3 linked regions of the Nothobranchius furzeri genome follow. The protein of the gene in region 2 purifies or fractionates together with the protein of the main gene of each other region. This does not show direct contact. Links are inferred from orthologs where the notes say so. Each region holds a gene or a part of one and is shown on either strand. Other genes may lie near its edges.

Evidence for each region. Proteins that work in one complex are often made in the same cells at the same time.
Region 1: the proteins of hspb11 (region 2) and ift22 purify together in Homo sapiens (affinity purification with mass spectrometry; 3 studies listed by BioGRID and IntAct, with this or other methods). This does not show direct contact. The link is inferred for Nothobranchius furzeri from reciprocal best matches to the Homo sapiens genes IFT25 and IFT22.
Region 3: the proteins of hspb11 (region 2) and ift88 purify together in Homo sapiens (affinity purification with mass spectrometry; 3 studies listed by BioGRID and IntAct, with this or other methods). This does not show direct contact. The link is inferred for Nothobranchius furzeri from reciprocal best matches to the Homo sapiens genes IFT25 and IFT88.

Annotation. Positions count from the first base shown.
Region 1 is NC_091751.1:48,583,757-48,587,679, forward strand, and holds ift22 (intraflagellar transport protein 22 homolog), read right to left. Parts: upstream 2,376-3,923; 5' UTR 2,287-2,375; intron 2,173-2,286; 5' UTR 2,131-2,172; coding exon 2,092-2,130; intron 1,413-2,091; coding exon 1,330-1,412; intron 1,233-1,329; coding exon 1,149-1,232; intron 1,073-1,148; coding exon 870-1,072; intron 797-869; coding exon 642-796; 3' UTR 528-641; downstream 1-527. Other genes in the region: outer dense fiber protein 2, read left to right, coding at 2,873-2,994, 3,083-3,194, 3,281-3,412, 3,526-3,600, 3,720-3,791, 3,870-3,923. UniProt on the Homo sapiens protein: Small GTPase-like component of the intraflagellar transport (IFT) complex B.
Region 2 is NC_091757.1:41,300,520-41,305,015, forward strand, and holds the start of hspb11 (intraflagellar transport protein 25 homolog), read right to left. Parts: upstream 2,977-4,496; 5' UTR 2,848-2,976; coding exon 2,756-2,847; intron 2,661-2,755; coding exon 2,554-2,660; intron 1-2,553. Other genes in the region: smn1 (survival motor neuron protein 1), read left to right, coding at 2,990-3,130, 3,510-3,581, 3,663-3,782. UniProt on the Homo sapiens protein: Component of the IFT complex B required for sonic hedgehog/SHH signaling.
Region 3 is NC_091742.1:29,198,554-29,202,915, reverse strand, and holds the start of ift88 (intraflagellar transport protein 88 homolog), read right to left. Parts: upstream 2,828-4,362; 5' UTR 2,718-2,827; coding exon 2,637-2,717; intron 2,476-2,636; coding exon 2,416-2,475; intron 1,997-2,415; exon of another isoform or gene 1,963-1,996; coding exon 1,903-1,962; intron 1,460-1,902; exon of another isoform or gene 1,333-1,459; intron 1-1,332. UniProt on the Homo sapiens protein: Positively regulates primary cilium biogenesis. Also involved in autophagy since it is required for trafficking of ATG16L and the expansion of the autophagic compartment.

The DNA.
Region 1 (3,923 bases), on a different chromosome or scaffold from region 2:
AAGGTTTTTATTTCTCTTTTTGTATTGGAACTTTTCACAATACCTCTTAAATCACAAACCTCTCCCACAGGACTGCTGAGTTAAATCTGTTAATAGATGGGAGCAAGGGTTAATTTTTGTTTTGGAAATGTGGGGTGGTCCAACATTATTGTTTTCTGAGTGTTTTTCCAGCAGTGTTTTGTCTTATGTGAGGTGCAGGGTGAGTCAGAGGAAAGTGAGTAATGATTCAGTCATCCATGTAAATGTGAAGCTGCACATGAGCTTCTCTACAACGTGTAACATGCTTTATTTAGCTTTGTTCAAGTGCCTTTTGCTTATTTCCAACTTGTGCAGACACAGAAATGTAAAACTTGTAACTTTTTTTTTTGCGTGGACATTTTAGACATTTCTTTATGGTTCTAAAGAATGCATTATATTATAGGTGAGTGTTTGTTGTTTAATGAACTGATTTATTTTGTTTTCCATTAAGGTAATGGCACACATGTATTCCTGCTTTGGTAGGAATAAAGGTATAAAGTAGGTAGGTATAAAGTAAATGAACCTTTAATAAAACACTAGGGACAAGTTATTAACAGAAAATAACTTGATGAGTTACATAAGCCAATGAACTGTGCAGTCAGTCGGGTAGATATGTACAGATTTCACTGCTGAGTAATAATTGACATTTCCTCTCGCTCTTGACTCTCCAACATCCCATTTACAACATTTCCCACATATCTGAAGAAAGCATGTCTAACATCCTCTGGGTCCTCTTCCAGGTTGGAGTGAATAAGCTGCAGTCTGCTCAGATTTGGTGCTGCATCAAAAGAGTAAAGATGTTAGCTCGGAAAACAAAACAAAAAACTGATGCAACACTTTTAGGAGATTACCTAAAGTCAACTGCCCATCTTTTACCTCACTGCCAGGCTTGTGATGAGCTATGAGTAGACACTGGTTGTCCTGCAAACCTTGGGATGCAATGAACATGGAGTACCAGGTCTCAATTTCTTTCAGGTGACTTGGAACAGCAGGATTAAAAATGGTCACCACACCATTACAGTCTTCCATGAGAGCAGGCCAGCATAATTCAAACCTGCAGAAAAGGGTTGGCATCAAAAAGCAGCTTTCATTTAGAAAGAAAAGGCATTTTCTTAGTGAATATGACTTACTTAAAATCTCCTGAACAATCCCAAAGTTCCACCTCACAGGTCTTGTCACCACTGCCTTTAAGCTGGGATTTGAATTCCAGTATCCTTGAGCAAGTAGAAAGTGAATGTGATCATTTTAGTATAATATGTATATGAGGTAATAACATTGAATGAAAGGTAATGAAAGGAAAACAGCCTGTACCTGACTCCTTTAGTAGGTCGGTACTGTCCGCCCACGTTTTCTGTCATGTCTGAGAGAAAATTGGCAAGAACAGTTTTCCCACTCTGAAAAAAGGAATAGATCACTTTAAAGATATGTTTAGTTCTCACATTTTACAATATAAGCATGTTTATGAACTGACCAGTGGTGCTGAAAAGCATCTGAGTTTTATTTGTACTACATGTCCGGTGTGACATGAAAATGGAAATAGCTGAGGTACAATTAAAGTGTGCTCGAGTAACCAAATAAAATGTATTTAGTTGAATTCAAAAACATCCAATCTTTTTGTCTTTTCACAAATTACTTTTTACACATTAAAAACTTTCAAAAGGTCTTTATTCGTAAAATAGCATAGTTTTGATTTCATTAACCTAAGCATTGCGTTTTTCTTTTAAATGCTTCCATACACCGTCATAACAAGGTTATTAGACTGTCATAAATATATGAATTCGATATTAGCTGAAGTGCTACTGAGATAAACATAAAATAGTTTACACTAGAACTGGGGTAAAGGTGCTGGAAGGCTGGTATTATGCATGTTTTAGTTGTTTGCCTGTTTCAACACACCTGATTTCAACGAGTAGGTGATTCTGCAGAGCATGATGAGCTGTTGAACAGATAATTGAATCAGGTGTGTTGAAGCAGGGAATCAACTCAAACGTGTTGGACATCTCGAGGACCGAGATCACTAAAGAAGTTAACAATACATGCTCATCTATATACGTTTTACGTTCATTTACTTACCTCGGTAGGTCCAACAAAGAGTATTTTTACTTTGAACATTTCCGAAGCCGAGCATTAGCTATCACGCTAGCTTTAAGAACCCTAAGAAAATCAACGTTTCAGCGTGAATATAAATTGCTAAGTACGTCTTTAAAGAAACATGTGTGTGGTATTTTAAGTTAAAAGAATAAAAGTATACTAAACTAGCTTATTTACGTTTATGTTCTCCGACTACAAGACTTCCTTGTCGTTTCTATGGTTTCAACCAAGCTCCCCTTCTTTCTTCGTCCATTGGCTGTTTGAAATTAAAATCAAACGTAGTCCCGCCCCTCTTTGCCTCGAGGAGCCAATAAGTGATGGGAAAAACATGTAGCGTCATTACGTTACTTCGAAGATGGCCAATCGCGCTTGAGCGTCCCTGCTGCCTCCCCAGTTGAAGTGGTATTATTTACAACAGAAACAAAGCGAAAGTGTGAGTAATATTAGAATTTTCTAGAATATACGATTTAAAGTTGAAATGTACTAAGTTTAATTACATTAGTCACCACGTGGTTGTTAGTGACTTAGCTTATTCGGCAAATTAACACGCGTTAAACGACGGCTTAGTCAAACCTGTCCGTTGCTATGGAGTACAGCATGTTAGCTTGGGTGTCCGCTGGCTTCCTGGTTCAAGTCAAATTGGCTGTAAAGTGTAATAAAACGATCTTATAAGCATATGAGATAGAATTTCCATCAGGATATTTAGTGATTTAACACTTTGTTTTATTTTGTTTATTATGTTATGTTTTTGTTAGTGGGGGGTATGTCTCCAGAGGATGGTGATCCCCAGAGTTCCCCTTTTCCTGGATTCAGTTCCACCAGTGATGATCTCACTCTGAGGCGTGGTGACCTAGACAACAGTCATGAGCCACAAAAAGGAAACAGGTCACAGAGAAAACACACATGTTTATAAACATGTGCTCTGGAGCTAAAAGGCTTACAACATTTTCTCACATCCCTATTTTTCATTTAGCTTTGAAGAGAAGCACACCTTTCTGAAACTACTGATTGATGCAGAAGCTGCTGCCAACTCTGCAGGAATACAACTTGCTTCATTCAAAAATGCAATAGAAGATGAATTTACTGTATGATTAAGAGCAATTTTTACCTTCTTCTGTTTGGTTTGAGCATTTACCGTGTCTGTAAATAATCACATCTTCTTTCAATTCAGGATTTGGGACCGTCTTCCAAAGACAAGCGTGGAATCACAAGGCAGAGAGGACTTTTGCTGGAGAAGTTGGAGAATTTTAGACGAATAAATAAATCTGTGCGACAGGAGTTAAAACTACACCAAAATGCAGAGGTGGATTTTTAAATGTTGAATTTATGCAAAAAAAAATGACTTAAAATTTTTCTCTAAATATAAATTGTAATAAGTTTGACTTTACCTGCTTTAATAATGAATTCCTTATACAGGTTAATCGAATTACTGAAAAGAAACGGACAGACCTCTTATTAAAGAAGATAACACAAGCTGAAAGTGAAAATGAGGTGAATGTTTTATTATATCATATTCTATGATGGGAGAAGATATAATTAGTCAGGAGTTGAGTCAAACATGGATTGTGATGCTTGAATTATACCTTATTGCTCATGTTTTCTTTCGTGAGCGCTTACAAATCATTCTGAACAAGACTGAGCGGAGGATCGAGGAGCTAATGAATACAAGGAGAGACCAGCAGGTAAGCACATAAAACACTAGGTAATCAATAAAATATTGAAATTAATTTTATTAGAAAGCATTTGTTTTGCTCCCTCAGAAGAACATTAAAAGTGGAGTTCATAAGACCAAGTCGGCAGAAGTGACGCACGCT
Region 2 (4,496 bases):
TTGGAAAAGCACAGTTTTTTTTTCAACTAAAACTAATAAACTTGTTTAAAATGTGAACTTGGCTCATGAGTGTCAGTTTATAATAATATGATTATACCGTTCTAAACCTCTAAACTAAGTCAGGTGGACAAAAATATGCTTTAAAGATAAACGAGAGGCAGTGAATAAGATTTTCTTAATGGGGACACACTGTAACCCCGAATAAGTTCACTGAACTCAAAATTTATGAGGAAACTGATTACCTAATAATTTTTAAGTTAACTTATCTAAAAACTATAAGTTTACCATAACTTAAAAAATATGACCTGAATAAAATCAAAGCATTTAACTACCTCCAGCTTATAACTTGGTACTTAAGCAACTTATAAAGTTTAATTTAACTAAACTTGCATATTTTATTTTATTTGAACTTTATTACATGTTTTTACTAACTTAAATATTATAACTTATATGAACTCTAAATGGACCTAATAAACCCTAACCCAAATGAGTTGAATTTACTTAGAAATGACAATGTGGCAGGCTGGTGAAGGCAGTAACTAGCACCAGATCATTACTCACACACCCATAAATGCTAACAGCCAATGAAAGTGGAACACTCAAAGTCAAGTCAAGAGCATCTGGTGTGAATAACCACAGTATTATTAACAATGGGACAGCACAGCCATACAGCATTACTTTGACCAACCTCCTCACTTATGGTGCCAACATGATACAAAAAGTAACACCACATCTGCAACACTGAATGAAATAATAACTGAGAACAACAATCCTCCAAAACAGACATGCATAAACACCCCAAAATAGAGCTAAATAACTGAAAACATAACTACCCACAATGCACCTCCCCCACCAGTTGTTTATTGTTCCTGAAATCCAACAAAATTGCTAGTTTGTGGTTGTTTTTCTTGTAAATCCACAAATATTTAAAATAAAACAATATACAAGTCTGTTTATCAGACGCACTTTAGGGTTGATGTAAAGATGAATGGAATATAGAAACATAAAATAATAAATCAATCATTTTTTTGGTTAACTTTACTCATTAAAGTTAAGTTGTCTCTTATTGATTAACCCTTTGATGCATGAATTATGAAATCTTCAACCATGATTTTTTTTACAATTTTTTTCATTCGTCTTTAGGTGCGAATGAAACAAATTTCAACTAATATTTTTCGTAAAATTTTATAATTTACAAATTATTTATTACATGTCCACCTCAGTGGACAGTGTGCATTCTGAGCATGAAATATGTTGGCCTGGCTTACTGAAGTACAAATGGAGGTGCTCACATGCAATAAAGTCTTCAACAGCTGTGCTTAATAGCAAAAACAAACAAATAACTATTTTGAGTACCTGTCCACTGTAGTGACCATTATGCATCAAAGGGTTAATTTAAGTTATGTTTACTTAAAAAAGAAATGACTGTTTTTCTTAAAGGGTCACAATTTGGGAATGACATCCTGTGGTCAAATTTGGGTACTGCAGTCTGTATAAACAGAGTCTGCTCTGTTTAGCTGTCGCCAGTGACGGATCAGCCCCAGAAGATTCTTGATGACAAGTAAAGACTAGCCATACACAGTTAACTGATAAGTAAATAAATACATTTCACTGTAATATCAAGTTGTTGGTATTCAAAAACGTGGCTTGAGATATTTTTAGAGTTGACTATTTTTTTTATTCATTGTTGGCCCAACATTAGCCTCTTGCCTTTTATTTTATTTATTTTTACCTGATTTCAGAATAAAACAAAAGCATGTTGTGGCTTCATACCCCATCTTTCCACTGGATGCGTAAGCTAGTGTGTACTGTAATAGGTGTGTTTTAATGTAATAGGCGTGTTTTACCCGCAAGCTCCCTTCCCACCAGGTGCATTTCCGATGTGAAACAGTAGCAAAAGCATTCCAAGCAGCTGTTCCCGCAAGGTAAAAAAAAAAATCACCAAAGAACTGCAGGGTCACGCATGATTTCAGCAGTACACGCGACAAAACGCAAAGGAAAAGACGGCAGTGTTTAACCAAAATGTCTGTGGTTTCTTTTCTGATCAATTTACTTCTTCCACTGAGGCTTCACAGATAGTGACAAACTTTTCTACTAGTTAGGCTACTGAGTATCTGCAAGTAATCTTTATTTAGAAAAATTCTGAACACTGTTTTGTGTTTGACTCCCTGTCTGGCCCGATCTGAACATCTGAACTTGTGTGTCCTTGTGGAAGAAGTTTGGAGTGATTAGAGGCAGTAGAGACACACATGGCAGCACAAAAGGATGCAAAAGGAAATTTTGCATAATGTGTCCCCTTTAAATATCAGCACAGCTGCTGGGAATAATAAACATCTGATTACAGGTCTGTGCAAATACACTTATGTAGCCTATATTGTGTTAGAGATGTATAAAGTATGTCTCTAATTAGTTTTGTGAGACAAGTGGGTGGAAAATCTAAAAGGTAGTTTCGAACAAAATATTTGCAACTAGTAGCATTGCTTCAGGGTGTTGCTATGCTCATCACAGAGCCTGGACAGTGTGTACTATTTATTGTCACTACGGTCTTCGTACCATTGTAGCTCTCCACTGTCACCGCAGCAACCCTCGTGGGCTCAGGAAAACGAATGACGAACTCTTGAGGAAACATCCCAGTGGACGTCCAAAATGTTTTTGTATTCCTAGATGTGGACAAAAAATACGTTAATAAAATTAATCAGATACGATGCTATTTAGAATATAGACGACAAACAGTGTTGCAAAGCGCAGCAAGTACCCGTCCATAATGTTTTCTGGTGGGTGATTCTCATCGCAGGAAGAAGCGAAAACGACTTTTACACCCAAAGAGTTGAAAGATGAATCGCTCATAACGATCTGGTCCCGCGGTGGAAACGCCTAAACGTGCGTATCAGCAGGTTTAATGATAAAAACTCATCAAAAGCTGGGTTTAGCTGCTGTTTTATTGTGGCGTGTGAAGCTGTAGATGTTGCCAGGCCAACAGCGTTGTCGCATGATATATACGTCACTTCAAGTCACTCGCTTCCGACGCACATTGTTGGGTCCAGAAATTGACAACGATTGGCACACATTTCAGTGTTCCTACATGGCGAATGGATGTAGAGACGTGTTATTTACCCGTGGAACTGGGCAGGTGTGTTTAAAACATTTATTAGTCGAACTGGATAAAGTATACGAACTATTTTTTTATTTCCTGTAGATCTATTTAAAACGAGAAGCTAGGAAGCTAAGCTACAAACCACCGGTAAGTTTAGCTAGTTGGACAACAAAGATAAACAGGGTCACAAAACAGCAATAGCTGTTGTTGGGTTTTATTAGTCGAGGTGGAGGATATAAATCACACAAAATTCACTCAAGCTGCATCAGAACTTCGTATTTTGAGTGAAGTGCTTTAGAAGTAGAGCTTGTAAACAGCACTGGTCTGTGACAGGAACAGAGGTACCACCTAAATATTTGGATAAGCATGCACCAAAGTAAGGCAGACCCTCTAAATGCATTTCCTTCTTTTTCAGAGTGATGATTCGGATATTTGGGATGATACCGCACTGATAAAAGCCTACGACAAGGCAGTTGCATCATTCAAGGTAAACTGGGTGCTTTTAGGTGTGCCTGCATGCACAGTCTTCTGTTTGTTTTGTTAGAATGATGCCCATTATGTGTGCCAGACTGCCCTGAAGGGTGAAGATGAACCTCAAGCTCCTAAGAAAAACCTACCAGGAAAAAAACGGAAGAACAACAAAAAGAACCAGAATGGGAAAAGAAACAATGTAGCCCCAGAGAAAGAGGTAATGAACTTTTTGTAATGTTGCAGCCTTAAAAATGTCTAATATTTGAGTTTAAAAATACATTTTTGCATGCTTTGTTATCTGTTCTTTAAGTCATCTTCCTTGCATAATCCAAAAGCTTTAAAATAAACACTTTTTAAAAAAGATTTAGCTTTTTTTTTTTTGCTTGGCACCCTATAAGCTACATTTAGTTATAATCATTACAATACAGCTGCATGAAAACACAATCGCTAATTATTTTTATTCACTTTAAATTTTAATTTCAAAGCAGAAAAAAAATCAAATGTTATTATCTCATGACAAAACTGTGGCTTAAAGATGATAACACTTTTGAATGACTAAGAACTGAACTGACAGATTTCAGTTGATGCATATATAAATACCGTAATTTCCGGACTATAGAGCGCACTTCAATATAAGCCGCACCGGGCTAAAAGCCGCAGAATCTACTGAATTGAAAACGTAGTTTAACTGAACGTAACTGAACTGATCAGTATCAAACAAAACAGAAAAGTTATTGATTAGTTTATTCATCGTCCTCCTGCGCACTGAAACCACTGAAGTTATCTTCTTCAGTGTCGGAGATGAACAGCCTCAGAAGAGCTTTGTTACATACCTTTTCTGTGGTGATGTCAGTGTCGCTCTCCGTGTTGCTGTCATCATCCCGGGGTGAAGCTGGGAAAGCAAGCAGCGCCGTTTTACTGTGAAAAAAAT
Region 3 (4,362 bases), on a different chromosome or scaffold from region 2:
CGTATGCATACTTAGTCCTTGGGCCATCGGTGATGATGTTCCACAAGGACGCGAGTACACAAGTTGGGACAAGTATACATATTGAGAAACAGCCAGTGACTCAATGCAATCTGCTGGGTTCCTTATAGATGAAACGCTTTACTGACTGGCTTAATGAACTGAACTGACTGGAATGTTTACTTTGTGAAGTCCCTTAAGACGACTCTTGTCCTGCTTTGGCGCCATCTAAATAAGCTGAATTGAAATGATTCTGTCATCGCCATCCTTGGCTGGAACTATACAGGTGTTGGTCATTAAATTAGAATATCATGACAAAGTAGATCTATTTCAGTAATTCCAACTTCTTTATTAAGTTCATTCATTCCACATAGACTGATATATTTAGAATGTTTATTCCTATAATTTTGATCATTACAACCAATGAAAATCCCAAATCCAGTATCTCAGATTATTAGAATATTGTGAAAAGGTTCAATATTGAAGACCCCCGGTGCCACACTCTCAGCTAATTAACTGAAAACACCTGCAAAACCCTTTAGATGGTCTCTCAGTCTGCTGAGTTGACAAGATGTCCAAAAGACGACCAATGACATCTCGTACAAGGAGGCCGGATGATGACAGAGCTCTGTGACCAAGCACATTAATACAGATGTGAAGGGAAGGACAAGATGTGGCGTCTCGACTGGGTTAAAGACAACAAAGACTGGACTGCTGCTGGCTGGTCCAAAGTTATGTTCTCTGGTGAAAGTAAATTTTGCATTTCCTTTGGAAATCAAGGTCTCAGAGTCTGGAGGAAGAGAGGAGAGGCCCAGAATCCACGTTGCTTGAGGTCCAGTGTAAAGTTTCCACAGTCCGTAAAGGTTTGGGGTGTCATGTCATCTGCTGCAATCTTATGGGTTGGCTTAATGAACTGACCTGTATTGGAATATTTACTTTGTGAAGTGCCTTGAGACGACTCTTGTCCTGATTTGGTGCTATATACATAAACTGAGTGAAATCTGTGTTGGTCAATTGTGTTTTCTGAGGTCAAAGGTCAACGCAGCCATCTATCAGGAAGTTTTAGAGCAGCTCACCTGACCTTAACCAAACAGAAAATCTATGGGGTAACGTGAAGAGGAAGGTGCAGTACGCCAGACCCAACAATTCAGAAGAGCTGAAGGCCACCATCAGAGCAACACGGGCTCTTACAACACCTGAGGGGGGCTCAGATGCAACCTAGCATGTAAATTAGCAGAATTCCACATTAGAGGAGAGCTTAACAGGATTTGGAGTCTTATTTCCTGATATTTGGACATCTCTCCTCTGATTGGCTAACAGCAACACCACTCCACCACTCAATCTGTTTGCTTTGCAACGTTGATGTTTTATCTCCACAAATAACTGAAGCCTGGAGGAGCTCTGATTCTCTGCTGTTTCCTGGACGCTAAATCAACAACAGCCTTCCCTGTCGTGAGTCAAGGTGAGTCCATGAATGCTCAGTGACAATGTGATGTAGATTTGTCAGGATTTTCTAATCCTAGAGTTTCACCGTCTACTTTCTATCAGAAGCTACTGCAGGAGGTAGGTAGGAGACTATTTTCATGTTCAGCCTGCATGAAAAACTCAGTGTGACTGATTATAATCAGAAATAATCATTAAAACTTGTTCTTCAGTGTTCCACACCTTTAAACAAAATGTCTATTTAATGTTTTTATATTATTTTGCTAATGTAAATCACACTGTTTTGTGTTCATTTGAAAGTCAAAAGCAAAATACTACTTTGATAAACTGCACAGCCCTGCTGCCTTCATTACTTTCTTCTGTGTAAAAGTCATTTATTACGAAGATGTTGTACTTTGTTTCCTAAACCTAATGTAGGCTTTTGTCAATTAGGTTTTTAAACATTTACATATTTGTACTTACTCCAGAAGAAGAAAACAACGGTCGAGCTCCAATGGCAGTGCCTGGGAACTTTCCACCTATCTGGAGAGATAAACACACAACATCATCCATGAGTGTGGGTAAACAAGTGTACACATACAAGTCATTCTAAACAATCCTCAATTCTCATTTAACCATTAGGTTCAGACATATCAGACCACTGGAAACATCTGATATTATAGCTGTACCTGCTGAAAAAACGCACAAATCTGGCTTTGTTGAAGTTTCACAAATCAGGGAAAGGTTTTACAAATCCCAAACAAAATTTTATGCAATCTGCTATTATAGTGGAATAATCTAGAACAGGTTTGAACAGTGTGGGTGTTGTAAGGTTTTGAGCTAGAGCAGATTAAAGATGGTCAGAGTAGAGAAAAATTGGGTGTAATGGCCCTTTAGCCGTCTCCCGAATCAGAAGCTGGAAACGGAAGCTAACTTCAGCAAGTCCAAAAGGGGTTCTCTAGTGACGAACACAAAAACAATACAAACGTTTCTTACCGGAGGTCTTCTTCCGTAAGTTGTTCTAACTGCTTGCTGGAAGCCCACGTCATTTTCAAACTACAGGTTTAAGAAAATGTATCATCACATTTATGTCCAAATGATCCAAAACAAACCACCGTGGTTCGTGCTAATAAAGCCTACAGTATAAGGCTAAACTAACTTCAGCCTCGAGCCTAGAGTACCAGCAGCTAATAGCAGGGAGTTAGCGGGTCACGCACCTCCGAGTAAAACGCCGGGTTGAAGTCGTTGTAACCAGAATAAAGGTCATCTTCCTCTGCAGCCTGGTGCACGTTTTCCATACTCTTCTGCTTAAAGAACGTGTGCAGAAATAAATCAGACGTTGGAGCTAGAAAGATGTTTGTTGTCGTTTCAGTTACATTACCCACAATCCAAAGCGATATAGGCGGGCTTAATCCCTTTTGGAGCTTCTGATTGGTGGTCTCACTGTCACTCTTAGTCAAACATGTACATGATTGGCTGAAGACGGTTCCGTCCGTTGCTATGATACAAGAGAAGTACACAGTTCTCTTCTCTCAAAGACGGAAACACATGTCCACTGGTATTATGAATATCCATTATTATTTGTTTGTTTTACCAAACAAGTAATACTCTTTAATGGCCCCAGTTTAATTTGTCCTTCTGGACTACCATTCATATATATATATATATATATATATATATATATATATATATATATATATATATATATATATATATATATATATATATATATATATATATATATACATACACACACACACACACACACACACACATATAAATAATCCATGGAGTAAGGATGCACAAGTTTTAAGGACATATGATCCACATTCCTCCCTAGTAATTAAATCCCCGAAATAAAGAGGAAAGTAGTTCATTTTTGGTGTTTCGGAAGGATTTTCTCCGGTAAGTTGATGAAATGTCATCATTTTGTTGCATTGTGAAGCGTTAGCTAACCGCTTCGTACCAAAATAAGCCAACGATGATATTTTATGTTGCCAGTTTTAGCTAGATCGCCTTTAATGAGCTAACTGTGTGCAGCTTGTTGGTTGTGAGCAGGAGGACGAGCTGTAGACGGGTTTCTTTCAGTTTGTTTGATTCTACGTTTTAAAAATATTCCCCACAGTTTCAAATAGGTGATAAACTTTTTACATTATTAGTTTTATTTGGGAATATTTGTACAATACGTTGCTGGTTGCTGTATCAACACGAACATGCATCAGAAACGGAAGCACAAATGGAGAGACCAATAATAAAGAAAACGTGATTGTGAAGACGAGTAATTATTTAATATTTTTCAGTTAATAACACTGACTGCAGCAAACTGCTGAAGCATGAGACAAACAGGAGTACGAACGTAAGAAGATATGTTGTTCTGTTTTGTGTACTCAAGTAATAAGAATAGAATTAAGATAATTCAAGAACAGTAGTCGAACAATAACTTTTAAAAATTAGACATTTTGCATAAAAATGCTAATTTCCACTTGCTTTATAAGATCAGCATTTGCTATTTTGTTATTAAGTAAGGAATGACAAGAAATAAGAATTAACAATAACACAACTATCAATAAAAAGAGTAACTAAAACAAAAATCTTATGTAACCATTAAAGGTTAAACTGTATTGTGTACATTTTCATGTTTTCATAGTGGCTGAGCGGAGAGCTGACCAGAAACAACGGTGGTGGCAAAACCCAGTTGGGTCTGTGATGGAGTGATGCACGCCTGGAGTGATTGCTATCTCATCTAGAGCCCTGCACTGAAGCCCTAGGCCCTCAGGTCGGGTTGGCCCGATGGCCCTCGGGCCGGGCTTCGGGCCAACGACTGTGTAATTACCTCGGACACGGGCCGGGCGCCTTTATTTTTAATCGAATTCATTACAAAAATTGAAACACTTAAACCAGGGGTCGGCGACCTGTTCCCATCAAAGAGCCATTATTACCCAT